Linked DNA regions of Stegostoma tigrinum. The protein of the gene in region 1 purifies or fractionates together with the protein of each later gene. This does not show direct contact. Links are inferred from orthologs where the notes say so. Each region holds a gene or a part of one and is shown in the gene's direction. Other genes may lie near its edges. The genes, in order: cops5, klhl42, BTB/POZ domain-containing protein 2-like and DDB1- and CUL4-associated factor 1-like.

Region 1 (7,722 bases):
AAATTGTAGTTCTTTTTATCCATGCCTTGCTGCTCAAAACAGCTGCTGGTATAATCCTTATGTATATTCCTGACTCTGGTCCCTTGTCCTTCAAAATTTCACACAGTCCTTTCAGGTACAATATGTGCAACTTATCATACAAGCATGGATTAAACAGAAAATTCATTTTTTATTGACCTTAACTCAGTTAACTGGTTTCAGTCTGAAGATAACGTGGCCATTTTAATGCAGCCGTGGAACGTCTATTTCATATGGTTTTCTTTGCTTTAGTCTGTGATTAGATGACACAACAGCCATTTTAGATTCATTTTTGCCCTTTTAAAAACTGTTTTTAATCAATGTGAGGTATGGTAATTAGATGATAGAAGCTGAATATTGATGGTCCACTTTTATTACATTGTACATGACATTTGCATTATTAAACAGAAAATGCCAATATGACTATGGTTACAAAGATTTCACATTTAATATTTTTTGAGGACTTGATTATTAGAGGATTGTGAAAAATTGACTTGTTTGAAGTTCTGTGGTTGCCTGGATTGTTAACTTTTTCTAAAAATAGAGGTTGCACTAGAATCTTTTTTAAATTTACGCATTTATTGGACGTGACATGGTTTCAGTTAATTGATGGGCTTGTCTGCTGGACATCACTTACCTGAGTTTTATAATTACCAATGGTCTAGTTTCTGTGTTAACATTGTTTTGCACAAAGTTGGTGTCCAGTCTGCTGAAGGAGAGAAGCTTCTCAGCTCAACTCAAATAAACATAAAGAACTGCAGATGCTGGAAATCTTAAACAAAAATCAACAGTGCTAGAGAAACTCAGCAGGTCTAGCAACATCTGTTGAGAGAAAAATAGACTTAATGTTTCAGATCCAGTGACCCTTCATCAGCACTATGCATCCTTACCTGTTCTAGAAAAGTGATAGTGTGCTGCTGATTTGAATTACAGTGGACCTTGCGATGTAGGAATTCCCATAGCGCTGTTATAAAGGGACTTTCAGAATTCTGACCCATGGCAATTAAGAAATGTTTACACAGTTCTAAGCCAGGATAATGTGTGGCTTGGAGTGGAACTTGCATGTGGTGGTCCCCATGCATCTGCTGCCCTTATCCTTCTGGATAAATTGTGGATATGGAAAGTACTGTCAAAAGGAGCCTTTACAAGTTACAGGAGTATATCTTCTCGATGATGCACATTGCTGCTACTACATTGGTAGTGATGGAATGAATATTGAACATGGTGGATGGAATGTCAATCAAGAGGGTTGCATTGTCCAGGATAGTCTCAAACTTCTGGAGACTTGTTGCAGCTGCACCCATTCAGGCAACAGGTGATTATTCCATTATTCTTTACAATTGTGCTTTGTACATGCTGGACAGGCTTTGGGGAGTTAGGAGGTGAGTTACTCTCTGACCTGGTTTTGAAGTCTGGTTCAATTCAATTTCTGGTTTATGGTAACCCCTAGATTGTTGATAGCAATGGATTCAGCGATGGTAATGCTAACGAATGTTGAGCAACACATTTTCTCTTTTTGGAGATTGTATTGCCTGACACTTGTGCAACTATTATTTGCTACTTACTCAAGCCTTAATGTCTCAAATACCAAGAACTCAAAATTCATTGGTTGCATCAATATCTGAGGAGCTGCGAGTGGCGCTGAACATTGCGCAATCATGGGCAAACATCTTCCGACTGACTTTATGATTTGCAGAAGGCAATTGGTAAAGCAGCCAAAGGTGGCTGAGCATAAGCCACTACCCTGAGGAATTTCTGCAGTGATAACCCAGAACTGAGATGATTGACCTTTAACAACCATAAAATTCTGTCGTCGTGCTAGTTATGATTCCCACCACCTTGGCTCCATGTTGCCACACTCAGAACAAAGATGCCTTGGTATCAAGGGCAGTTACTGTGGTCTCTGATATTTAGCTCTTTTGCCCATTTTGGACATAGGATGCAGGGACTCAGTAACCCTGTTGAAACCCATGCTGAGCAGACTATTCATTTAGAAGTGCAGTATGGTGGCCTCTTTCATGACTCCTCCCTTCACTTTGCTGATGATAGAGAGTAAACTAAAAGAGCAGTAAGTGTCTATGTTGGATCTGACCTCTGTTTTTGTGAACAGGACATACCTGAGCATTTTTCCACATTATCAAGTAGAGGCCAGTATTTTGCAACAGTTAGGCTATGTGCCAGCTAGCTCTAGAGCACAAGTCTTCACTATGATTGCCAGAATATTGTTAGGGCTCATAGTTTTGGCAGTATCTAGCATCGTCAGCCACTTCTTGATATTACTAGAATAAATTTAATTGCTTAAATTCTGGTAACTATAACACCAGGATAGATCATTCACTTAGCATTTTTGGCTAAAGATGGATGCTCCTTTTGAACAGATGTAGAGCCGGGAATATTTGTTTAATTGTCCACCACCATTCAAAACTGGATATAGCATGACCAAAGGGCTAAAAGCTGATCCATTGGTTGTACAATCATTTAGCCCTGACTATTGCATGCTTCTTCTGCTGCTTGGTATGTAGGTACTCTTGTGTTGGGCTTCACCAGGCTGACATTTCCTTTTTAGGTATGCCTGGCGCTGCTTTTGACATTCCATCTTGGGCGCACGGTGGCTCAGTGGTTAGTACTGCAGCCTCACAGCACCAGGGACCCGGGTTCAATTCCAGCCTCGGGCAACTGTCTGTGTGGAGTTTGCACATTCTCCCCATGTCTGCGTGGGTTTCCTCTGGGTGCTCCGGTTTCCTCCTACAGTCCAAAGATGTGCAGGCTAGGTGGATTGGCCATGCTAAATGCCCATAGTGTTCAGGAGTGTGTGGGTTAATAGGGGAATGGGTCTGGGTGGGATGCTTCAAGGGGCAGTGTGGACTTGTTGGGCCGAAGGGCCTGTTTCCACTCTGCAGGGAATCTAATCTAATCTAAAAAGCCTTCATTGAACCAGATGCAAGTCCTCAGCTAGAGTACATTCAGTGCTGGACAGGTTTTGGAGAACTGGACGCAAGTTAGTCGTGACAGAATTCCTAGTCGCTGACTGGCTCTAGTAAACATAATGCTTATATGGCCGGTCCAGTTCAGTTTCTGGTTTATGGTAGCCATAAGGTGGTTGGTTAATGGTGGTAATACCATTGAATGTGATGATTGGATTCTCTCTAGTTGAAGATGGTCATTGCCTGGAAATTGTGTGGTGCAAATGTTACTTGCCACTAATCAACACAAGTGTGAATGTGTCAGATATGAAAAACATAAAATCGTACACTGGCTGTGTCAGTATCTGAGGAACCACAAATGGTAGTGAACATTGTGCAATCATTAGCACATATCTTCTTTATGACCTTATGATGGATGGAAAGTAATGTATCCTTGCCACCTCCGTGCTTCCTCTAAATGGTGTCCAATGTGGCAGATAACAAAGTGTGAAGCTGGATGAATACAGCAGGCCAAGCAGCATCTCAGGAGCACAAAAGCTGACATTTCTGGCCTTAGGTTTGTTATCTTGGATTCTCCAGCATCTGCAGTTCCCACTATCTCTCCAATGTGGCAGAGTTTTGATTCATCAGCCAAAGGAGAGATGGTAGGTGGTAATCAGCAAAAGCCTTTTCTGGTCCATGTTTTATCTGATACCATGAGACTTCGTGGGACCGTGAGTCAATGATGAGAATATCCAGGGGGACTCTCCCTGGATTTTATAAATCCACGCTGCCTCCTCTAGTGAGTCTGACCTTCCAGTATGATAGGAAATAACTCAAGTATGGTGGTGGTGGTTGTGTCTGGAATATTGTCTGTAAGGTTTGATTTCATGAGCATGACTACGTCAGGTTTTTGCTGTACCAGCAATTTTGGCACACGTCCTCACGTCAGTAAGGTGTTTGCAGATTCAACAAGGCTGGACTTGCATTGTTGCTCATGGTCCCTGCATCCCTAGTTTCATTCTTTTCTTTTGACTTTGTAGCAGTTTGATACAACCAACTGTCTTGCAAGGCCATTTCAGAGAGCACATATGAGTCAGTCATATCTGAGGAAGGTTCAGTGGACTCAAAAAGTTAACTCTTGATTTTTCTTCACAGATGCTGCCAGACCTACAGTTCTTCCTGAAACTGCTTTTGTTCCTGATTTACAACATGTGCTGTTCTTTCCGTTTTTATGAGTCAGTTGTGTTGGTTTGACTTATATATTGGCCAGACCCAGATAAGAATGACAGATTTCTAGCCCTAAAGGGCATTTGTGAACCAGAAGGATTGGAATGCTACTGGTGATTTGCTATGTTCTAATGATATTTTAATATAACTTATGCTCTGAAGGTATTTTCTACCCTTCTGTTTTGGTGGTCTCCAATTTAAATCAAAAGAAACAGTAATATCCTAATTATAAGTACATAAGAACAGGACAGCGCCGTTGAGGTCCTCACGACTGCCCTGCCATTTCATACTCATCATGGCCTCCAACTCCCTTTACAGCCTGCTGCCCGTAACTCTTCCTTACTTACTAATTAAAAAATTGTCTATGTCCTCCTTAAATTTATTCAACATGCGGCATCCATCGCACCCCAGGCTGGTGAATTCCACAGATTCACCGACCCTCTGAGTGAAGTTAATATGAGCTACTGTCGTCCTGGTGCGAGTTCCTCGCGTTCATCATAATATGAGCAGATCGTCACAGTCACATTTCCAGTCGGTTATTCCACTCTCCTCCGCCAGAGGGCGGCGCACTCGCTGACAGCTCGGGAGACCTTAGTGGCAGGCGCCCCGTTGATCTTAACCTGCCGTTAAATTCGGCGAACAAACGAAAGTCGGAACACAACGCGTTGGCAATCTACCCTAAACGACATTTTTAATTTAACTCGCTTGGGTTATTTGGTCTGATCTGCACCCTCCGCCCCCCTGTCCCCGGGGGCAGCGTGGTGAGTGGTGCCGGGCCGGAGCTGTCGCCGCTTGGAGGGGGCCTGGGCCTGCGCGTGCGCCTGGGCCGTTGACGGTTCGGTTGGTATTTGGAGGTGAACCTTCAAACCGGTGAGGAGGAGGAGGCAGGTGAAGGGGAGAAGATGGCTGGTGCGAGTGGTAACGTCGCGCAGAAGACTTGGGAACTGGCGAATAACATGCAGGAAGTTCAGAGCATCGATGAAATCTACAAATACGACAAAAAGCAACAGCAGGAAATCCTCGCGGCGAAACCCTGGACTAAAGAGTAAGTCTGTTACTCCTGACAGAATCAGAGGAGCAGTCAGAGATCCTTTTGTAGGCCCGACCCTTGTTATAAAATAATTATGCCCAAAAGTAACAATCCAGTCAGTTATTGTTAATAACAACATCGTCAGAAAGTGCTTTGGGATAAATCTTTAATACAAAAGGATAAAGTAATTTCCTCATGAACACAATTTGTAATTTTTAGTACCTCCCTGTTTTATTCTGTATTAGCATATTAGAACTATACGTCCTAAACTTTTCCAGCAAGATTGACTTTAGCAAAATACAAGTGACTGCGAATGCTGGACATCTGAGAAACTCAACAGGCGTGACAGCATCAATGCAGAGAAAGTACAGAATCAATGTTAGTGTGGACTCGAAACGTGCACTTAGTTTTCTGTCCACAGATACTGCCAGACTGACTTTACTGCTGCGCCACCAGCTCTGTAAATGTCTGATTATTCTTATTAGTCAATAAAAGACATACAAGGGCATAAGACAAGTCCAGTGACTTTCTTCAGCACTGTGTTTTGGCAAGAGGATTTTTTTTAAAAAGGGAGCATTTGAATGGTTAGAGATTGCAGAACTCGGAGATTCAGAGAGAGCTCGGTGACCGTTGTATTACTCACGAAAGGCTAGTATGCATGCACAGCAAGTAATTAGGAAAGTTCATATGGTATTATTTATTGAAATGGGAATTGAATAAAAAATTAGGGTGCTTATGCTTATTAAGTACTGGTGAGAACACATCATAAGTACTGTTTATTAGACTTGTCTCTTATGTAAGCAAGGTTGTAAATATATTGGTAGCAGTTCAGACTATCAACAATCATTCAGTAACGAAGGAAGTAAATCACTCCAGTTGCACAAAAATTACATTGGCTACTTTTTTTGTCAACCGGTGAACCAACATATAGCAATTATATGCACACTTTGAATTTGGAAGTTGACAATTTGCCTAATTAGTTATTTATAAGTCAGATATACTGTAAGAAAGAAATTGCATTCATTCAATGATATTCATGACTTCAGCGCTCCCTAAATATGCTACAATTGATGTAGCCCTTTCTACAGTGTAATCATGCTTATAACACAAGAAACTCTGTCAGTTTGCACACGACAAGTTCACATAAAAAGTCATGCCCACAATGACCAGGTGGTTATGTTGGTTGATGGATAAGTATGAAAAAAAATCCTGCACTTGTATATTACCACAGGATCTTTCACACCTGCCTGATGGGAAGGTAGACAGAGTCTAAATCTGAAAGACAGCATTGCGAATAATGTGTGATGTGAGACCATTTCCTTCTGGTTCTGATGCCAGAGTGCTTGCCACTGAGCCACTGCTGACTGCTGATAGCCAGCACTGTCTATGCCCACCTCACCACCAATCCGTGGACTAAAATACAAAATATTTGTTAGATATTTTTGTATGGTAGTACTGAGGGAGTTTTGCAATGGGTGTGAAGTTAATTTATTTCCCATCCATCTGTCCAAAAAGCATAAAGAAGGAAGAGCAGCGAGTTGCCCCAATTGTAGTTGATGTTCTTCCCTTCACCAGCACTACCAAAAACTGTCTCCCTGTAAATTGCTATTTGCAAGAAGTTGGTGTATGTAGTTTATCTACATAATGAGTAAACTATATTTTTATTATTTTTCATTTTAGCAATTATCTTCATATATTAACTGAATAATATTGATAACCTTTATGTATATTGCATTATTAAAATTTTGTTTTCTATCCATTGATATTTTAATCTCTAAGATTTTAGTGTGAATGCAAGAGCCTTGTGACTGTATCAGCAAGGTCAATTGCTACATTTTTCTAATTATTGTAATATGTGCTTTCCAGTCATCATTACTTCAAATACTGCAAAATCTCAGCTCTTGCACTTTTGAAGATGGTGATGCATGCCAGATCAGGTGGAAATTTGGAAGTGATGGGCTTAATGTTGGGTAAAGTGGATGGTGAAACAATGATCATAATGGACAGTTTTGCTCTCCCTGTGGAAGGGACGGAAACAAGAGTCAATGCTCAGGCTGCTGCATATGAATATATGGCTGCCTATATAGAGAATGCTAAACAGGTATGTTAAATAAATTTACAGGTTTTACAACTTCCAACTCCTGTTCTTTTAATATGTTAATAATGCAAAAAAGTTGTTTATTTTCAGGTCTTTTAAAACTTTTTTAGTAACTGGAGTATCTGTCTATGCTTAGTGTAAACTTTTCAACTCTGTGCACAACTTTCTGTTATTAGGTTTTGGTCATGATAATTGCCAACTTTTTCCAGTTCTGAATATGCAAGTTTCCTTTGTTTACATTTTATTTTAGCATTTGTTTATTTGAACATGTCATTCTGCCAATCTGGTGACTGGGTTTTTGCAAATCTCCTCCAAAATTTTTATAGAATTTTTTTTTCTCTCCCTTGCTGACTTAAATATCTATACCAGAGTAAGAGTTTGAAAAACAAAATGAAATCTCATGTTTGCCTGGTTGCATTTATCCATTAAATTATTTTTGATCA
Region 2 (7,080 bases), on another chromosome or scaffold:
CTCCATTTCGCATTATCATGATTTTATTAGCATGATGTGGAATAGCAGTAATGTCATTGGATTACATATTTAAATGGAGTTATATCACAGTATAGAATTAACCCCTTCAAAATGCTCACAGATTGAATGCTTCAGATTCAACAGACAGATATAATCAAGCAAGTCAAGGGTACTAAGTCATGTAGTATGACTATGTAATGTGACCATATGACTGTGTAATTTGATATAGTCTGGGAAGACAATTTTTTTTGTGTTCATTTGTGGGCTGTGTATGTCACTGGCTGGCCAGCATTTCTTGCCCATCCCTACTTGCCCATGAGAAGATGATGGTGAGCTGCCTTGTTGAACTGCTGCAGTCCTCCTGCTGTGAGCTGACCCACAGTGCTGCTAGGGAGGGAATTCCAGGATTTTGAATCAATGACAGTGAAGGAATAGCAATATATTTCCAAATCAGGATGATGAGTGGCTTGGAGGGGAACTTGCTGGTGGTGGTGCCCCCATATGTCTGATGCCCTTGTCCTTCCAGATGGAAGTGGTCATGATTTTGGAAGGTGCTGTCTCAGGATCTTTGGTGAGTTTCTATAGTGCATCTTTTAGATAATACACACTGCTACTACTGAGCGTCGGTGGTGGAGGAAGTGGATGCTTGCAGATGTAGTGCCCATAAAACGGGCTGCGTTGTCTTGGATGGAGTCCAGCTTCTTGAGTGTTGTTGGCAAGTGGGAAGTGTTCCATCATACTCCTGATTTGTGCCTTGTAGATGATGGACAGGCTTTGAAGAGTCAGGAGGCGAATTACTCGTCGCAGTATTCCTAGCTTTTGGCTTGCTCTTGTAGCTGTATTTCTGTGGTGAGTCCAGTTGAGTTTCTGCTCAATGATAACCCCCAGGATGTTGATAGCAGGGGATTCGGTGATGGTAACACAATTGAATGTCAATTGAAACACAATTGAATGATCTTATTGCATTTGAACATGGACTGTTCATTATCTGAGCAGTCACAAATGGTGCTGAACATTGTAATAAAATGTGAGGCTGGATGAACACAGCAGGCCAAGCAGCATGTCAGGAGCACAAAAGCTGATGTTTCGGGCCTAGACCCTTCATCAGCTCTCTGATGAAGGGTCTAGGCCCAAAACGTCAGCTTTTGTGCTCCTGAGATGCTGCTTGGCCTGCTGTGTTCATCCAGCCTCACATTTTATTATCTTGGAATTCTCCAGCATCTGCAGTTCCCATTATCTCTGGTGCTGAACATTGTTCAGTCATCAGTAAACATCCTCACTTCTGACCTTATGATAGGAAGGAAGGTCATTGATGAAGCAGCTGAAGATGGTTAGGCCTAGGACACTACCCTGAAGAACTCCTGCAGACTTGTCCTGGAGCTGAGATGATTGACCTCCAACTACTACGATCATCCTCCTATGTGTCAGGTATGACTCCAACCCAGATACCCAGTTTTGCTCAGGCTCCTTGATGCTACACTTGGTTGAATGCAGCCTTGATATCAAGGGCTGTCACTCTCACCTCTCCTCTGGAATTCAGCTCTTTTGTCCATGTTTGAACCAAGGCTGCAATGAGGTCAGGAGCTGAGTGGCCTTGGCAGAACCAAAATTCAGCGTCACTGAGCACTGACAGTGGCTTAGTCGTAAAGTTACTGGTCTTGCAATGTAGAATCTCAGGCAATGCTCTGGGGATCTAAGTTCTATTCCCACCAAGGCAAGTGGTGAAATCTGAATTGAATAAAAAAAGTGAAAAGCTAACCTCAAGGCAATGATGTAACCATTGCTGGTTGTCATAAAACCTGCTATCCTTACTAGATCTGACCTTACCGTACTCCAGACACATTGCCAGAAAGAATGGTAGCAGCAGATTTATATCGCATTACAAAGGGAATTGTTTGTATATTTTTGAAAACAATCCAGGACACGGGGAAAAGGGCACGTATGACTAACTTCATAACTCTTCAAGTAGTTAACACAGATGACAATGGGCCAGAAAGCTTCCTTCTGAGCTTGTGATCCACAACAGCATTGTCATCCAATTCTGAGCTCTTCAAAAAAAGCCCTGATTAAATTGGTGAAACAATGCCTCTGTTTTCAAAAGCCATAGTTGTATTCTGTTATAACAGCTGAAGTTTCCAAAAGATCATGCAATGATCATGCAGTATGTCTCTAATAGAAACACAAGATACAAAGACAATAGGAGCAGGAGTATGCCATTCAGCCTGCTGAGACTGCTCCAACATTCAATATGATCATGGCTGATCATCTAACTCAGTACCTTGTTCCTGTTTTCTCGTCATAACCGTTGATGCAATTAGTTGTCTCCTTCTTGGAAGCACTCAATGTTTTGACCTTAACAGCTTCCTGTGGCAGAGAATTCCATAGGTTCACCACTTTCTGGATGAAGAAATTCTCCTCATTTCAGTCCTAAATAGCCCACACAGTTTCCTTAGACTGTGACCTGTGGTTCTCCAGAACATCCTTCTTGCGTTTATTATGTCTAGTCATATTAGAATGTTATAGACTTCTACCAGATCCCCCTCATTCTTCTAAATGCCAGTGAATATAATTCTCACTGATCCAGCCTCTCTTCATACTTGATCATCTCACTACAACTTAATTTTCAGAAATGAATAATGTCATGGATTATTTTCACCATAATTTTCTCAAAGTGATAGCTTCAGTTTTAAACTTGGGAAGCTATTTGTCAAAGGAATTAAAGGAAGTTAATCTTGGGATTTTAGGTTATATTTTCTGATGTTCAGATAACTAGATAGTCTCAAGATCAAACAATAAAATAACAGTAATAAACTCAGAAAGGGGATAATTTAAGACCTGACATGCCACCTTGTCCTCTAATTATAATGATGAATTTATGTTGCTTACCTGGCAAATTTAAGTTGCTCCATTTAATGTACGGAGGTAAACGTTCATTGAACTGAAAGATTGACTCTTTTTCTCTCTCCACATATTCGCCTGACCTGTTGAGTATTTCCTGCAATTTCTGTTTTATTTAAGAATTCCAATACCTGCAATATTTTGTTTCTGTATCCCTGCTGCTTTATGCAAACTTCTGTTCTCTGTATATCTGTATAAATATTCTTTTTATCAACTCCACGACTTGAGTATGTCTTTCCAGCTGACATTAGGTGTAGCAGTAAAATTGCTGAGGTGTCATATTTCAGACGAGACATTAAACGAGGTAACAAAGTGCGGAGATAACACAGTGTGAAGCTGGATGAACACAGCGGGCCAAGCAGCATCAGAAGAGCGCAAAAGCTGACATTTCGGGCCTTTATCTCTGATACAACATTCAACGAGGGTCCGTTTGCTTGCTATTAAGTAGATGCAGAAGATTCTGTAGCGAAATGTTATCCCTCAACCGTCAGCAGCAAATAACAGTTATTTGAGGGACCTTGCGCTGTTTAAATTGCCTCATTACCGTGGTTATATTTCAAATGTTACCATTATTTATGAGAAGCCTTGAGAGGTGAAAGGCTAGATATAACACAGGTTCTATACTCGCTCTTGTACCTAAAGTCAACGCTCACTTACTTCCTTTATTACAAAGTATTGTGATTTACATAATGGAAAAAGTCATTCCTGACTCTGTTCTCTTAAACTAATGCCTTGGCTTTGTACTGTCGAAACTGTGGAATGCTGTCTTTGTACACGGTGGCCAGTACCCAAAGCAGTGCTCAACGTGTGATCTTGACAAGGCGAACAGTTCCATTTCTAACACTGCAAAGTTATAATACGATCTTCAGGATTTCTGTTGTCTATAGGTACATACTGAGTGTTTTTTTTAATTCAAATAAAGTCCATATAACAATTTATTTATCTTTGAAACAGCTGGGTTTTTATTTTATCAGTTGGTCGACTCTGTTTAAAATCCCATTGCATCATAAAAAAGGACGCGGTACCACATCTGTAAAAACAATCAGAACAATAATATACTACTGTTTTTGTTTTTAAATACACCGTTGCCAGACTGTCACAAATGATACATGTAACTCCGCGCAATATTTCATGCGCAGTCAGAGCGAGCTGAGTGCCTTTCAAAGGTAAGATGCGAGAGGAGCAGAATGTGCTGGTTGTTGCCTTTTGCAGTCCGAGATTGGCCGTTGTAAACGGAACAAGAAGTGACGATACAAAAATGACAAGGAAACGAGATTAAAGAAACAAGCGAGCAGGCTGTGAAACTTCAACCGAATATGCATAGAAACCGAGTAAGCATTTAGTGATTGCTTGCACTGTGTGCAACAAGGTCCTGCTGTTATATTACACTGGACACGGCAATGTTAATAAATCTACTGAAACGGGTGTTTTGTCTGATGTAGGCCCGCGTGCAGATCCGAATAAATATAAATAAAAGCTGAACCTGCCCGCTGAAAGAAAACAGACTGTATTCATTCAGTCCTCATCTGCTGATACGATGTCCTCCGAAGAAATCATAGCTATCATAATAGACGATAAGACGTACAATGTCAATAAGAGTAAGTTAATTGAGAAAAGCGATTATTTTAAAGCCCTGTATAACTCCGGGATGAAGGAATCTGAAGAAGATTCGGTGCAGCTGCAAGGCTTGAGTGCGCATGGACTGGAGCTCGTCATTGAATTCATCAACACTTCCAAAGTACATTTTGATAACGAGACCTTGGAAGATTTAGTGGAAACAGCGTCGTTTCTCCAGGTGTCTTCCATCTTGAAGCTGCTCCTCTCTGAGATTAAGGTGGATAACTGTGTGGAGTTATATAAACTTTCTGAAATTTACGGAATCGCTGATCTGAGAAAGGCCTGCCTCAAGTTCATGGTGTGTCATTACCACCCAATGCTGAGGAGGCAGGAATTTAGCCATCTACCCAAGACTTTGCATCAACAAGTCAGGGAGATGCGCCTTAAAGGCACAGCTGTCTTGGTGGCAGTAGGGGATTTCTTTAGCACCTCCTTGGATCAGTCTCCTGATGAGGCTTGGTCAATGCTGAGATATGATGAGGTTGGACAGAGATGGCTACCCTTGGCAAACAGCCTCCCTCATGACATGGTGAATGTGAGAGGCTATGGTTCCACAGTGCTGAATAATTACCTTTTCATCATTGGTGGATACAGAATGACTAGTCAGGAGATCTCGGCTGCACATTGCTACAATCCTTGCAAAAATGAATGGAATCAGATTGCACCAATGAATCAAAAAAGGTACAAAGCTGGTAATCACTTAGTTCACTCTCACCACAGTGTGATATCAGAAATACAAACCGCAATTGCTGAAACAAAAAACGTGCAGGTCTGGCAGCATGCTGGCAGATGCCAGAACTGGTGAGATTTTTCAGCAATTTCTGTTTGTGTTTCCAATTTCGAGCACCTACAGTTCTTAGTTTCTTTTTGTGCTGTCAGAAATATTATTTCTCACATCGCTTCGATAACCAACAACCTTCGTTTTTTATAGACAATTTATATCTGATAAATGTCAGTTTCACAAATGACATAAGAAAGTTTATAAATGCTTGAAATAATCAGAATCACCATGACCCAGATCTTTTATCAATCTATTTTTGATAATGGAGCAGAATTTTTACCAAAGCATTTCCAACCTGTGAAAAGCTCATGAAGTGGGGATTCCCCTCTCTCACAAAGGTACAACTAGTCTCTTAATGCTGCACATTTCAAACAGGCCTTATTTGTAGTAATAAAAATAGTAAATCAGAGCACTTACAATGTCTTGATTGGGTGTCATCTGCAGTTGGTAGAAGTGGGGAGACCTGTGTACTAACCAGTTAACGCATCATTCAAAAAGCCTACAGTGACCAACTGTTTGGTGCAGGCTTAAGGGGCTAAATAGCAATTCCTTCTCCAGTTTCTTATGTTTTTAAGTAGCAGTTACTTCAGTATTTGGGATAATTAACAAGTGTTATAGACCATTTTTCTTTCATAAGTACAGCACACTGGCTTCTTAACTAAAACAAAATTAATTGAAACAATGTTTTGAAGTCCAGTAAATGGGTTGAAACAATGTTGTGATGGCACTCCAACATTGCACTGTTCTACCACTGATGAACATTAAATATAGGAGCATAAGTATTCTATTCATACTTTTGAGCCTGTCATACAGTTATAGAGTCATACAGTTATACAGTACAGAAACAGGCCCTTTGGTCCAACCAGTCCATGCCAACCATACTCCCAAACTAAACTACTCCCACCTGCCTGCGCTGGCCCATATCCCTCCAAATATTTCGTATTCATGTACTAATCTAAATGCCTTCTAAATGTTCTAGCTGTACCTGCATCCATCACTTCCTCCGGAAGTTCATTCCGCACACACGAGCCACTCTGTGTAAAATAAAAATTGCACCTCATGTCTTTTTAAAATCTTTCCCCTCTCATTTTAAAAATATGACCCTAGTCTTGAAATCCCCAATGTTAGGGAAAAGGGACCTGCCATTCATTCAACTTATCTATACCCCCTCAATGATTTCATAAATCCCGAACTTGTCTCCTCAACCTCCTATGCTCCAATGAAAAAAGTTCCAGACTAGCCAGTGTCTCTTTATAACTCAATTCCTCTAGTCCCAGCAACTGGTAAATCTCTCCTGAAATCCTCTCTAGCTTAGTAATATTCTTCTGTAACCGGAAGACCAGAACTGGACACAATACTCCAGAAGAGGTTTCACCAATGTCCTGTACAATCTCAACATAACATCCCCATTCCTATACTCAACGGTCTGAGCAATGAAGGCAAGCATGCCAAACGCCTTCTTAACCATCTTACCTATATGTGATGCAAACTTCAAAGAATAATGTACCTGTACCCCTTGGTCTCTTTGTTCTACAACCCTTTGGATAAGTACATGAATAGGAAAGGTTTGGAGGGATATGGGCCAGGAACAGCCAAGTGCGACTAGCTGAGTGTGGGATTATGTTTGTCATGGCCTGTTTGGACTAAAGGGTCTGTTTCCCTGCTGTATGACTCTGTGAGTCCTACTTTGAGTTGTGTAAGTCTTTGTTTGTTTTACCAAAATATAATAGCCCACATATATCCAAATTAAAATTCATCTGGCTGTCTTCAGCCCATTGACCCAA
Region 3 (7,843 bases), on another chromosome or scaffold:
TCTTTAACACTTTGGAAGCAGCTAAATAGCTGCGTAAGACATTGAGTTAAAAGAACTCAAAGACTAGCACAAACTAAATTACTGGATGGTTTACCTGAACAGATCAATGATCTAAAATTAAGCAGGTTAGTTAAAAAAAGATAATGCATTTTTAAAATGTACAGTATTTTTTTAAAAAAGGAAAATAATGTCTGCTTTCCTCAGCTCATATCATGTCCACAACATATATTCAATATAAAACACTAACAGGTTCTGTAGTGTAGTGATAGTGAAACTGACCTACTAACTCACAGGTAGTGACTTCAAGTCCTATTTCAAACCATATAATTGAATTCAACTAAGTTTATAAAACCCAAAAGAACTACGGATGCTCTAAATCAGTTCCTGGAAAAGCTCAGCATGTCTGGCAGCATCAGTGGAGAGAAATCAAAATTAGCTTGGGTCCAGTGTTCTGAGGAAGGGTCACCGGACCCAAAACATTAACTCTGATTTCCCATCACAGATACTGCCAGACCTGCTGAGCTTTTCCAGCAGCTTCTGTTTTTGTATTAATTAAGTCAATGATTACTGGACTGACATCAGAAACTGATCAATAGAAAACCTCAACTGCTTCATTATGCTCTATGTACTAGTCTCTCGACCCTTCCATGGTAGAATTTCCACAGTGTTTTCCAAACTCTTGCTTTAATATTGACAGGACGTCTGATTGTCTCTTTTTGTGTCTTTCACCGAAGTTGGTCGCTACAGCAGAACCTCACAACTTCCCACCATCGCCATTACCATGTGAATTGGCAGAGCAAACATCCACGTGCCGAGAACAAATGTTAAAAAGTACAGATTTTACACGACATAGTGTTGAAAATTAAAGTCTGTCAGTGTGCAGTGTTAATATGACAACAATGGCTGACACTTGTGAGGACAGGAATGTTTATATCAGCATTTTTAAGCTAGAATATGACGTGGCCACAATGTTCATACATAGAGATATGAGAAATGAAATCATAACAATGTTTGACCTCTGCTGAAACTATCCCAACAAAGAAAATGTAATTGTGTATCATGTGCACAAGATTTTATATTTACAATACCTGGCATGTGCCATTTTTGTAGCTGGATGAGAGACGTAAGGTGCAATTCAGCGATTGGGTTAGACTATCCTCCCTAACCTTTATATGTAGAAGATGTACACAATGGGATCATTAAGCACAGAATCTACAGAGGTCTTCAAACATGAGATAGGGTCTATTAACAGACGCACATAAGGAAGGGGCAGGCTGAAGAAACTATTGCACATTGGATGGTCAATTTTACATGGCAATTGAAGGTTAAGCATTTGTTAAATTTAAACAAGATATTAGATAGATCAAGATATTAAACCGCCTAGCAGAAATTTGTTAACCACAAACTATTCAGGGGTATAGATTAAAATTGAGCATTTACAGTTAGTTCACAGATCAGCCATGATTTTATTAAATTACAGGACAGGACTAAATGGCCACTCCCACTCCTATACTGTGATTAATTACTACATTTTTCCTTTCCGCTAATGGCCACAGGCAGTTGTAAAAGAGCTGATGCCAGGTTTTCTGATCCTCAGCCGGTTGCACTAAAAGCTAACATTGCAGGGAAAGCCTGTCATCCATTGAAGTGTTTCAATTAAATGGATAACCTCCCAGTGAAAAATTGAGTCTGCAATGCAGGGAAAGACAAACTTGGAAACTGATAGCCTCAGTTTCATTTTTTTTCTGGTTTGTGGAACTTCCTGTTGATTTCCAATTTTCACTTGGCTAGTCCAATGTGTACCACATGTAATCAAACACACCTGAGAACTTCAGTAAAAATACCATGCTTAATATTGGATAAGACCCTAAGAAAAATGAGTAGGTCATTCAGTCAATTGAGTCCATTCCACCATTCAGTTAGATCATGGGATTAAAAATCTGGTTATCTCAGCCTTGATTAAATTAAACAATTCAGCCTTGACAGCCCTCTCTGGTAAGTTGAGAGAAAAATAATTCCTCATTTTCTCTGTCTTAAATGGGCACACCTTACGCTGAGATAATGCCTTTCTTGTCCTAGACATTCTCACAAGTGAACACAAACTGTCTGCAGCGACCCTATCTCATCCCCTAAGAATCTTAAACATTTCAGTAAAGTCTCCTTTCATTCTTCTAAATTCCAATGAACACAAGCCCAACCTACTCAACCTACCCTCACAAGAAAATTTTTTCATACCCAGGGTCAAGCTAGTAAACCTCCTCTGGACTGTCTCTGATGCCAACATATTTTTCCTTGGATAAAGGGACCAAAACTGTTCATTGTATTCCACAGGTCTGTGGTCTGGCTAGTCCCTTTTATAATTTTAGCAAACACTCCCTGTTTTTATATTTAATTCATCCTGAGTGGGGCAACATTCCATTTGAATGACAGAATCTTTACATCACAGAAAGAGACAGATCAGCCCATCAAGTTCACACTGACCTTCCAAACCACACAAACCCAGCCTCCCACCATATCCCTGTAACTCTGCATTTCCCATGGGTAATCCACCCAGCTTGCACACTCCTGGACAGCATGGGCCAAATTTAGCATGGCTAATCCACCTAACCTGCACATCTTTGGACTGTGACAGGAAGCTGGCAGAAACCCATGCAGATACAGGGAGAATGTGCAAACCTTGCACAGGCAATTGCTTCGGGCTAGAATCAAACCCAGGTCCCTGGCGCTGTGAGGCAGCAGTGCTAACCACTGAGCCACTGTGCTGCCCTATTGCCTTCCCTATTATCCACTGTACTTGGGTGCTAGCTTCTTCTTATTCATGCACTGGGACTCCCACATCCCTAAGTTGTTCAGCTATCTGCAGTCTATCTCCATTTAAATGATATTCACTTCTTCTATTTGTCCTGCCAATGTGCATAATCTCATTTCTTCCCAAATTATATTCCATCTAATAAGTTTTTGCTCATTCATTTACCTTGTCTAAATCCCTGCATATCTCACCACTTGCCTTCTCACCTACTTTTATGTCATCTGCAAACTTGGGTATAGTACAATCACTAGCATCATCCAAGTCATTAATATATTGTAAATAATTGTAGCCCCAGAACTGAACCCTGCCGCACTCTACTTCTTACAGGTTGCCATCCTGAAAATGTCCTCTCGATCACAACTGTCTTATCGGTTAGTTAACCAATCTACTATCCCTGCTAATACACTAGCCCCACCACCACGGGTTCTTACCTTATTAAGTGGCCCTATGTATGATACCTTAGTGAACGCTCTTTCAAAATCCAAAATGTAACAACTGGTTCCCCTTTATCTAGACTGCATGTTATTGTCTCAATGAACACAACCTATTGTTCCAGAAAACTATCACACATAGTTGCTATCATGGCTACTCCGCCAATTCAATTTTCCCAATCTACATGAAGATTGAGAGAAGATGAAGATTAAAGTCACCCATGATTAATGCCCTGCCTCTTTTTACATGGACTCATCATCTCCTGATTTATTCTTTGTGCTACAAAACAGCTAGTGTTCTGTTTTGTAATAACAAAGCTAGCCCACCACCCATACTTGTCTCTCTGTCTTTTCAAAAGGTCACAAGCCCCTGAATATTTAGACATCAGCATAAATCTCTTTGTAACCATGTGCCCATAATGGCTATAAAGTCATAACCATTAACCACTATTTGTGTCATTAATTCAATTATTTTGTGCTGCATACTTTGTATGTTTCAGACCCATTAATTTTGCCTTTTTACTGTGAATATCCTATCACACGAAGTAAATTACATTGAATGGCTGCATCAGTGAAGAGAGAAACAGAGTTAACATTTCATGTCCAGTATGAGTCTTCTTCCAACTCAACTTGTTAACTCTGATTGTTCCTTGATGGATGCTGCGAGACCTGGTGAGTTCCTTCAGCACTTTGTGTTTTATTTCAGATTTCCAGGATCTGCAATTTTTTGCATTTATTAAATCGACCACCAGTGGATTTACATATTATGATTTCATAAGAAGGGAGCTGTGAGCTCACTTATTTATCCTGTATATTAAAATGATAAAGATTTATGATTATTTATACTTAAATGGAATGCAGTTGATAGACATGATGTTAGAGTTGAATCAGAATCGAGTTAAACAGAACACTAGTGGAGTTATAAGCAATAATTTCGGTAGATGGAGTTGAGGGAACTTTCAACTTTTGAATAGATAAATATGGCTCATAATATTTATTTTTTATTGAAAAGAACAGACATAACAGAAGTAGATACACGAGTGTTGTTTACCTAATAGAAAAGAATATCAGTGGATAAATGATAATTTCAGCAAAGGGACCAAAATCATTTATCATTGCACATTCTAAAATAATAAATATGGTTAATTATTCTTTATTTGTGATTGAAAAGGGCAGAGATAATGGAGAGATTGGAGGGAGGTTGTGCTGACAGCAATGAGAATGGAATTATTGAGTATCAATAGATTTACAAGTAATGATTTCAGTAAATGGGGCTGAAGTCATTTATCATCCTACATATTGACATGATAAATATGGTTAGTTATTTATTATTTGTAATTAAAAGGGCACACCTAATCGAGAGATGTATAGAAAAAACTGTAACAACAGGAACAAGAATAGAATTATTGACTACCAGTGGATTTACAATTAATAATTAAGGTGGGGGGGGCAAAGTTATTTATCATCCCGTATATTAATATGGTGAATAAGATTAATAAATCATTATTTGTAATTAAAAGGGGCATAGATAACAGAGAAATGATAGGGATGCTGTAATAACAGCAACCAGTATAGAATTGTTGAGTACCAGTGGATTTACAAGTGCTAATTTTAGCAAAAGGAGATGGGGTTAGTTTTTTTTAAGGGGACATATGTATTTATGTTTGTGATTAAACTGGAGAAATATTCCAGAGGAGGGAGTTGTATTAAGTGGGGACTTTGATCTGGCTTTAAGGAGGGCCATGCTCTCAGCAGCTGCTGTTTGTAAACAGATGCCACTTCAAGATGGCGGCGGGAGGGAGCAACCTCAGCGCCTGTAACCGAGTCAACATCCCTAATGGCGGCGGCGGAGGTGGTGGCGGTGGATCGGGCAGCCCGAGCTTGGGCACCAGCTCCTCGCCGCCTTCCTCGCTGTCCGGCGGGGTCGGGCCGGGAGGAGGTGGAGGATCGGCGGCGGCGGCGGCAGCAGCAGCAGCGGCGGCCGCGGCTGTAGTCATTTGCCGGGAGCCCATGTACAACTGGCAGGCCACCAAGACGACGGTGAAGGAGCGCTTCGCCTTCCTGTTCAACAACGAGATCCTGAGCGACGTGCACTTCCTGGTGGGCAAGGGGATGGGGACGCAGCGGATCCCCGCTCACCGCTTCGTGTTGGCCGTCGGCAGCGCCGTCTTCGACGCCATGTTCAACGGCGGCATGGCCACCACCTCCACCGAGATCGAGCTGCCCGACGTCGAGCCCGCCGCCTTCCTTGCCCTCCTTAAGTGAGTGCGGCCTGAGGGGAGGGGAGGGGCGGTTATTCATCAAACTTACGCCGTGGTTTGAGGCCTATCTAGATCTTCTCCGCTCCAAGACGGATGCCGGCCCGTCCTTTAGTACTGGAGAAGTCTTATTTTATTTTCTTTTATTGCCCCCCCCCCCCCCGGCATATTTACGGCGTTTCCCTCCCCGCGTGTTTAAAGATGTTATCAAAGTATTATGTTTAAACTCGCAGTCGGGAAGGCGCAGTCTGAGTTTTTATAAGATGGTTCACGCCCTTTTTGTTGGTGTTTTGCGGTGGGGGAGGCTGGACTTTTGTAGCCTCGGGGCTTCATTCATAGTCAGCGGAAGGTTGCAGCTGCGCTGATCCAGTTGGTGGTGATGCCTTCTTGAGTAAATGGGGACTAGCTTAAGACAGACTTGTCCTTTGTAAGGTACTAAAATTGCATCGCATCGCATCGCTTTCGGGTTTTCGGGGAGACGAGGTTATGTTTTGCGCCTATGATGCAGCTGTACGTCTGGGTATTTCGTTTTTGGTTTGTGGACCTTGAAAGGGTCTCATTTTCAGTGCTCATTACGCCGACAGAATGAAGGCAAGATGGCTAATGCACCGCAGAGTATTGAAAGCTTTTGCACCTCTTCAGTCAGAAGACTAATCAAACTACATTCCTGTGAAAAGCTCAATATCTGCTTTACGCTTGGATTTTAGCAAGTGTCAGCAACATTTTTTTTATTTTAAAGGGGGCAGAGATTTCTGCTTATTGCCCCACCCAGTTGTTTTTCCACTGATGCATTAATATTTGGAATTAAAAATCTAATTGCTTCCAGATTTCTGTTAACCCCCCCCTCACCCTTTAAGTTGTAGCTCACAAATTTTAGGTGACAAGTCTGTTTAAGCTGCCTGTTTTTAACGCAGCTGATACAAAATGCACATCATAACTCTTGCCAAACATGTGAGTTTTACAGTCTTTTTTTTTCTCGCTGTTGGTGCGCATCATCAAGTGAGATATTGTGCAATGATGCACAACTTGACATTATAGAGCCCTTACTGTCTTTGAAAAGTGACATTTTGGACTATCAAATCTGTACAGCTTTCTTGCTTAAACCATTGGTTATTTGGTCCCAGGCTTTCAAAGTTATTTTTACAATATCTGTTGTCTGTGGTGCTGGAATGGTGGCATTAATCACATGAGGGCTTGTATGTAATACATGTAATTTTTTTTGTCTGAGCTGTGGCATTGTGTTGCTAGGTTGTTCTGCAGTTGAACCTGATCTTGCCTAATGTTGATGCACGCTTTCTAGTAGTGTACTATTAAATAGTCAGCTGGAACTGAAATGCCAGATAATGCATCCTAACCAGTGAAGGGAGAGGAGGGCAGCGGTTAACCTGAAAAAGAACCCCTGTGACTTTTTCATTTTCTAATCACTTAACAATACATGGGAGATGGTAGCATGGTGGTAACTAATGCTCTGGGGAACTTGTTTCAGTCTACAGCAACTGGTGGAAATTAAATTTCACTTGAGTTGAAATCCAGACTCGTTCAGGTGAGTGTGACACCATTGGAAAAGTCCTGAATGGGTCACTTCCTTCTACCGTTTTTACCTGCTCTGGCTTCCTTGCGGATTTTGTGGCATTATTCTTAAAATTGTAACCATATTTGTATAACTGATCCCTGTTAGGAGAAATAAAAGAATGCTTTGAAGTTACAAGTGAGTTCTTGGTCAACCACAATGTTCTGCCCTCTTGTTCGGAAAGCGGTGACGTACACCAGGATATAATTCATGTGAGCACTATCCTCGTCGGGGCACAGCATAAGCTCCTGTTTCCAGTTGTGAATTAGATTAGGCCTGATTGGGTGAAAATGTAAAAAACATTTTATTTTCACCCAGTGTCTATGCAGCTATTATTTGATGACTACTATTAATCTAGTCACTGTTCTGACAGAATTCAGCTCAGATCAGCAGTTGAGTTCCGAGGAAGGGTAACTGGACCCAAAACGTTAACTCTGATTTTTTTTTCACAGATGTTGCCAGACCTGCTGAGCTTTTCCGGCAACTTCCATTTTTATCCTAGCAATTAAGTAGTTTCTCTTCAGTGTAGCTCATCACTACATAGCACATTTACCCATCAAACCACTGTTTTAAGAGTTTGTTAGCTCAGACAGTTGGTTTGCGATGATGTGATATCAGTTGCACTGGCTCAACCCTTACACTTGCTGAGGTTACTTTGAAGGACTGTCCTTCTCAACTTCTCCCCTTACCTGAGGCATGGTGACCCTCTGGTTAAATCGCCTGCAGATGTGTATCTCTGATGAGAGATCAAACTGACAGCCCAATCAGACTATGG
Region 4 (6,831 bases), on another chromosome or scaffold:
ATGACCCTACCATGGGGAACCTTATCAAATGCCTTGCTGAAGTCCATATACACCACATCCACAGCTCGACCCTCATCAACCTTTCTAGTCACATCCTCAAAAAACTCGATAAGGTTTGTGAGGCATGACCTGCCCCTCACAAAGCCGTGTTGACTGCATTTAATCAAGCCATGCTCTTCCAGATAGTCATAAATCCTATCCCTCAGAATCCTTTCTAACACCTTGCAGACGACAGACGTGAGACTTACTGGTCTGTAATTGCCGGGGATTTCCCTATTTCCTTTCTTGAAGAGAGGAATTACATTTGCCTCTCTCCAGTCCTCAGATACGACTCCAGTGGAGAGCGAGGATGCAAAGATCTTCGCAAGTGGCAAAGCAATTGCATTTCTCATTTCCCAAAGCAGCCAAGGACAAATCTGGTCCAGGCCTGGCGAATTGTCAATCTTAATGTTTGACAAAATTTTCAGCACATCAGCTTCCTCTATCTCTATCCATTCCAGCATGCACACCTGCTCTTCAAAGGTTTCATTCACTACAAAGTTCGTTTCTTTCGTAAAGACAGAAGCAAAAAACTCATTTAGGGCTTCCCCTACCTCCTCAGACTCCACACACAAGTTCCCTATGCTATCCCTGATCGGCCCTACTCTTTCTTTGACCATTCTCTTATTCCTCACGTAAGTGTAAAATGCCTTTGTGTTCTCCCTAATCCGTTCTGCCAAGCCTTTCTCGTGCCCCCTCCTGGCTCTCCTCAGACCATTTTTGAGCTCCTTCCTTGTCTGCCTGTAATCCTCTAGAGCTTCCTCCACCTTATGTAAGCTACCTTCTTCCTTTTGATGAGAAGCTCCACCGCTCTCGTCATCCAAGGTTCCTTCCTCTTACCCCTTCTTGCCTGTCTCAGAGGACATATTTATTCATCACTCGCAACAACTGTTCCTTAAACAGTCTCCACATGTCTATAGTGCCTTTACCATGGAACAATTGCTCCCAGTCCATGCTTCCTAACTCATGTCTAATCGCATCATAGTTTCCTCTTCCACAACTAAATATCCTCCCATTTTGCCTAATCCTCTCCTTCTCCATAGCTATGTAGAATGTGAGGCAGTTATGGTCACTATCACCAAAATGCTCTCCCACCACAAGATCTGATACCTGCCTCAGCTCGTTTCCGAACACCGAGTCTAGAATGCCCTCTCCCCTCGTCGGCCTGTCAACGTACTGAGTTAGGAAACCCTCCTGAACACACCTTACAAAAACAGCTCCATTCAAATCTTCTGCTCGAAGGAGGTTCCAATCAATATTGGGAAAGTTAAAGTCACCCATTACAACAACCCTACTACGTCCACACTTTTCCAAATCTGCCGACCTATGCTTTCTTCAATCTCCCTGCTGCTGTTGGGAGGCCTTTAGTAAACCCCTAACGAGGTGACTACTCCCTTGCTGTTCCTAATTTCCACCCATACTGACTCGGTACGCAGATCTTCCTCGACAAAGGAAGCTTCTGTAGCTGTGGTACCCTCTCTGGTTAGTAGTGTTACACCTCCTCCTCTTTTTCCCCCTCCCTATTCTTTTTAAATGCTCTAAACCCTGGAACATTCAGCAACCATTCCTGCCCCTGAGAAACCCATGTCTCTGTTATGGCCACAACATCATAGCACCAGGTACTGATCCATGCTCTAAGTTCATCACTTTTATTCCTGATACTCCTTGCGTTAAAGCAAACACACTTTAACCGATCCCTTGGTTCCTTCCCAGGAAAATCCTTCCCACTAGCTGGTCTACCTCTTGCTATTGCCTCACCTGCATCAACTCTCACCTCCGGGAGACAGCTCAGGTTCCCACCCCCCTGCCATACTCGTTTAAACCCTCTCGAACTACTCGAGCAAACCTTCCACCCAGGATATTGGTCCCCTTCCAGTTCAGATGCAACCCATCCGTCTTGTACAGGTCCCACCTTCCCCAGAAGGCATCCCAATTATCTACATATCCGAAGCCCTCCCTCCTACACCAGCTGCGCAGCCACGTGTTAAGCTGCGCCCGCTCCCTGTTCCTCGCCTCGCTATCTCGTGGCACCGGTAATAAACTAAAGAACACTACTCTGTTCGTCCTGCTTTGCAGCTTCCATCCTAACTCCCTGAAATCACTTTTTATATCCTCAATCCTTTTTCTGGCTATATCATTAGTGCCAATATGTAACACGATTTCTGGCTGTTCGCCCTCCCCTTTTAGAACCTTATACACCCGATCGGAGACGTGCCGGACCCTGGCACCAGGGAGGCAACATACCTTCTGGGAATCCAGATCCTGACCACAAAATCTCCTGTCGATTCCCCTAACTATCGAGTCCCCTACCACGAGTACTTTTCTATTCTGCCCCCTTCCCTTCTTTGCCACAGTGTCAGGCTCAGTGCCAGAGAACTGACTACTATGGTAGGTCATCCCCCCCCAGCAGTATCCAAAGCGGTATACTTATTGCTGAGGGGAATGCCCACAGGGGATCTCTGCACTGTCTGTCTGTCCCCTTTCTTCCCCCTAACTGTAACCCATCTATCCTTGTCCTGAGCCTTAGGAGTGACCAACTCCCGGTAACTCCTCTCAATTACCCCCTCTGCCTCCCGAATGATCCGTAGTTCAAAAAGCTCCAGCTCCATTTCCCTAACACAGTTTTCAAGGAGCTGGAGTCGGGTGCACTGCCCGCAGATGTGGCCAGTGGAGACGTGTGCCATGTCTCCCAGCTGCCACATTCTGCAGGAGGAGCAAGCAACTGCCCTAGCATCCATACCCCACTTATCTGAACACCCACTCAGTACTAAAGTAGAAAGCTTAGTTCAAGTTGCTATAAAATTAATAACAAACTTAAGGCAATTAGGGATGATTAATGCTGGTCACTCCAACCCATTGCTACCAACTGTAATTGCTACAAATGCATCTTCTGTAGGACTGGAAACTATGCTGTTTCAGGTACAGATGGAAAACATAAGCCAGTTTACAGCACTTGCCCTTCACTGCCAGACACCTAAAAGTGATATCCATTATGGGAAAATGAAGCATGAATGATATACTAGCGATATACAAGCAGCCTCAATAAAAAAGTAATGAATTGTCACATTATCTTCTCACAGCCTCCAGGCCAGATAAAGCCTCAATGTGTTTCTTAGATAAAATTAATGTTTAGTTAAACTCAACATACTTTGCAGTACAGGACTAAAAACATTATGATTACCAACCAGTCTGTTTTTAATTAATGATTTTCATTTTTCTGCATTTTGATTGCAGTTGGCTGGCGACAAATATTGGTTTCACTTGGAATGGAGCCAGACAATCTTTTTAAGGCGCCTTGAAAGGGCGGGGAAGGCATGACCTCGCATTGAAAGGGACTAGCTCCAAGCCTGCAAGGCTCCTAACCCTAAACCCTTTCTAACACAATTGAAAGACAACAACGAGCGCCATGTGGCAAATTCAGATTGCAAACAGGAATTGGCACAGGGATAGCGTACTTACCACCTCTGAAGGACTGGGTTCAACTGCCACTTGCTTCTGAAGTTTTCCAAACAGGTTGGTTACATACCTACAGTGAAGAAAGAATAAAATTCGGCTGAACTACAGCCAAAGTTGTAAATTCTGCTACTTTTTAAAAATAAAGCCGGTGCACACACATCTGCAGCAAATACGGTCTCCTGGTCCACAAGTAAGGACCATACCACTGCGCGTACGATGCTCCACGCCACGTCGGGAAACGACGATGCTACGCAGGCGCAGTGATGTCCAAACGCCTGGACTACAAGCCCCAGAATGCCGAGCGGCCACACGCAGCAACGAACTGACGTCACAGCCGCCATCACTGGGAGCGTGGAGCCTAGGGCCTGACGCTGATACAGACCGAGCTCATCGCTGCTAGACAGCCAGGTCAGTGGGAACCCGCCCGGGGATCGCTACTATCGTAGTCTCCGGCGGTGCAGCAGGGCAGCCAAACGGTAGCCCCCACACCCTCTCGGCTCGCGGGGAGGCGGAGCGAGGCCTCACCGTAAGCGGGGGGAGAGGGGAAGCCGCAGCCGGCCGTGGTTGAGGCCCCGGGCCCACACGTGAGGAGGTGGAGGGGGGGGGAACCGGAGCGGTCCGCGAGGGAGAGGAAACTACAACAAGAACAGAGAGTTGGAGGGAAAAAGTGGGGAGAGACTGGAAGGAGGACAGGATCCGGAGGAGGACGGGGTTGGGGAAGCAGTGTGGCTTGAAGAGGATGACGGGGGACGTGGGACCGGGGTGGGGAGGTGTGCAACGATGGGGACGTGGGGCTTAGGGGGGGGTCAACGATGGGGACGTGGGGCTTGAGGTGGGGGGTGTGCAACGATGGGGACGTGGGACTTGGGCGGGGGGGGTTGCAACGATGGGGACGTGGGACTTGGGCGGGGGGGGTTGCAACGATGGGGACGTGGGACTTGGGCGGGGGGGGTTGCAACGATGGGGACGTGGGACTTGGGCGGGGGGGGTTGCAACGATGGGGACGTGGGACTTGGGCGGGGGGGGTTGCAACGATGGGGACGTGGGACTTGGGCGGGGGGGGTTGCAACGATGGGGACGTGGGACTTGGGCGGGGGGGGTTGCAACGATGGGGACGTGGGGCGGGGGGGGTTGCAACGATGGGGACGTGGGGCGGGGGGGGTTGCAACGATGGGGACGTGGGGCGGGGGGGGTTGCAACGATGGGGACGTGGGACTTGGGCGGGGGGGGGTTGCAACGATGGGGACTTGGGCGGGGGGGGTTGCAACGATGGGGACTTGGGCGGGGGGGGTTGCAACGATGGGGACGTGGGACTTGGGCGGGGGGGGTTGCAACGATGGGGACGTGGGACTTGGGCGGGGGGGGTTGCAACGATGGGGACGTGGGACTTGGGCGGGGGGGGTTGCAACGATGGGGACGTGGGACTTGGGCGGGGGGGTTGCAACGATGGGGACGTGGGACTTGGGCGGGGGGGGTTGCAACGATGGGGACGTGGGACTTGGGCGGGGGGGGTTGCAACGATGGGGACGTGGGACTTGGGCGGGGGGGGTTGCAACGATGGGGACGTGGGGCGGGGGGGGTTGCAACGATGGGGACGTGGGACTTGGGCGGGGGGGGGTTGCAACGATGGGGACGTGGGGCGGGGGGGGTTGCAACGATGGGGACGTGGGGCGGGGGGGGTTGCAACGATGGGGACGTGGGGCGGGGGGGTTGCAACGGTGGGGCGGGGGGGGTTGCAACGATGGGGACGTGGGGCGGGGGGGGTTGCAACGATGGGGACGTGGGGCGGGGGGGGTTGCAACGATGGGGACGTGGGACGGGGGGGAGCAACGATGGGGACGGGGGACGTGGGACGTGGGGGGGGAGCAACGATGGGGACGGGGGACGTGGGACGTGGGGGGGGGGTGCAACGATGGGGACGTGGAACGGGGGGGTGCAACGATGGGGACGTGGGACGTGGGGGGGGTGCAACGATGGGGACGTGGGGGGGGTGCAATGACGGGGGGGTGCAACGACGGGGACGTGGGGGGGGTGCAACGATGGGGACGTGGGGGGGGTGCAACGACGGGGACGTGGGGGGGGTGCAACGACGGGGACGTGGGACGTGGGGGGGTGCAACGACGGGGACGTGGAGGGGGTGCAACGACGGGGACGTGGGACGTGGGGGGGTGCAACGACGGGGACGTGGAGGGGGTGCAACGACGGGGACGTGGGACTTTCGGGGGGGGTGCAACGACGGGGACGTGGGACTTTCGGGGGGGTGCAACGACGGGGACGTGGGACTTTCGGGGGGGTGCAACGACGGGGACGTGGGACTTTCGGGGGGGTGCAACGACGGGGACGTGGGACTTTCGGGGGGGTGCAACGACGGGGACGTGGGACTTTCGGGGGGGTGCAACGACGGGGACGTGGGACTTTCGGGGGGGTGCAACGACGGGGACGTGGGACTTTCGGGGGGGTGCAACGACGGGGACGTGGGACTTTCGGGGGGGTGCAACGACGGGGACGTGGGACTTTCGGGGGTGGGGTGCAACGACGGGGACGTGGGACTTGGGGTGGGGTGCAACGACGGGGACGTGGGACTTGGCAGGGGGGTGCAACGACGGGGACGTGGGACTTGGCGGGGGGGTGCAACGACTGGGACTTGGGGTGGGGTGCAACGACGGGGACGTGGGACTTGGGGGGGGTGGGGTGTGTGCAACGACAGGGACGAGGGACTGGGTGGGGGGTGCAACGACGGGGGCGAGGGACTGGGTGGGGGGGGTGTGCAGGGACGAGGAACTGCGTGGGGGGAGGTTGCAGCGACGGGGACGAGGGTCTGCGTGGGGGGTGGATTTCAGCGACGGGGACGAGGGTCTGCGTGGGGGGGGCAGAGACGGGGACGAGGGTCTGCGTGGGGTGTGCAGAGATGGGGACGAGGGACTGTGTCGGGGTGGCAGAGTTGGTGACGAGGGACTGTGTGGGGAAGTGGGCCTGCAGAAGCACTTGAGGAATGGGGTGCTGAGTCTGCCTCTTCGCAGACTCATTCCTCCAAAGAGGTGGGTGAAGAGTCTCGGGTGATGAGACCAGAGGTGGTTGGGGGGAAGAGAAAGCAAGTGTGGAGAGTGAGGGAGGAGAGAAGAGGCCTACTGAGGTCAGGATGGAAAAGACTGCTGTTTCAGTCTCATCCTCGATTAAATAAGTACTTCAGTCTACCCTGTAGAACAAAATAATATTTCAAATAAAAATGGCAAGCAAAGAAGGCCCAATTGTCTTCAGTGCAATTTGTTTGTCATCTTGTCTTGCAATAAATATTGAGTTTATTTCCTCCCAACCGTTTTTTTAAAGGAATATTGT

Evidence for each region.
Region 2: the proteins of cops5 (region 1) and klhl42 purify together in Homo sapiens (affinity purification with mass spectrometry; 3 studies listed by BioGRID and IntAct, with this or other methods). This does not show direct contact. The link is inferred for Stegostoma tigrinum from reciprocal best matches to the Homo sapiens genes COPS5 and KLHL42.
Region 3: the proteins of cops5 (region 1) and BTB/POZ domain-containing protein 2-like purify together in Homo sapiens (affinity purification with mass spectrometry; 4 studies listed by BioGRID and IntAct, counting the BioPlex papers as one, with this or other methods). This does not show direct contact. The link is inferred for Stegostoma tigrinum from reciprocal best matches to the Homo sapiens genes COPS5 and BTBD2.
Region 4: the proteins of cops5 (region 1) and DDB1- and CUL4-associated factor 1-like purify together in Homo sapiens (affinity purification with mass spectrometry; 8 studies listed by BioGRID and IntAct, with this or other methods). This does not show direct contact. The link is inferred for Stegostoma tigrinum from reciprocal best matches to the Homo sapiens genes COPS5 and DCAF1.

Annotation. Positions count from the first base shown.
Region 1 is NC_081358.1:31,124,298-31,132,019, forward strand, and holds the start of cops5 (COP9 signalosome complex subunit 5), read left to right. Parts: upstream 1-4,712; 5' UTR 4,713-5,053; coding exon 5,054-5,196; intron 5,197-7,047; coding exon 7,048-7,282; intron 7,283-7,722. UniProt on the Homo sapiens protein: Probable protease subunit of the COP9 signalosome complex (CSN), a complex involved in various cellular and developmental processes.
Region 2 is NC_081371.1:29,036,129-29,043,208, forward strand, and holds the start of klhl42 (kelch-like protein 42), read left to right. Parts: upstream 1-4,057; 5' UTR 4,058-4,435; coding exon 4,436-5,196; intron 5,197-7,080. UniProt on the Homo sapiens protein: Substrate-specific adapter of a BCR (BTB-CUL3-RBX1) E3 ubiquitin-protein ligase complex required for mitotic progression and cytokinesis. The BCR(KLHL42) E3 ubiquitin ligase complex mediates the ubiquitination and subsequent degradation of KATNA1.
Region 3 is NC_081383.1:17,877,173-17,885,015, reverse strand, and holds the start of BTB/POZ domain-containing protein 2-like, read left to right. Parts: upstream 1-4,827; 5' UTR 4,828-5,025; coding exon 5,026-5,501; intron 5,502-7,843.
Region 4 is NC_081364.1:62,919,687-62,926,517, forward strand, and holds the start of DDB1- and CUL4-associated factor 1-like, read left to right. Parts: upstream 1-3,825; 5' UTR 3,826-3,903; intron 3,904-6,831. UniProt on the Homo sapiens protein: Acts both as a substrate recognition component of E3 ubiquitin-protein ligase complexes and as an atypical serine/threonine-protein kinase, playing key roles in various processes such as cell cycle, telomerase regulation and histone modification.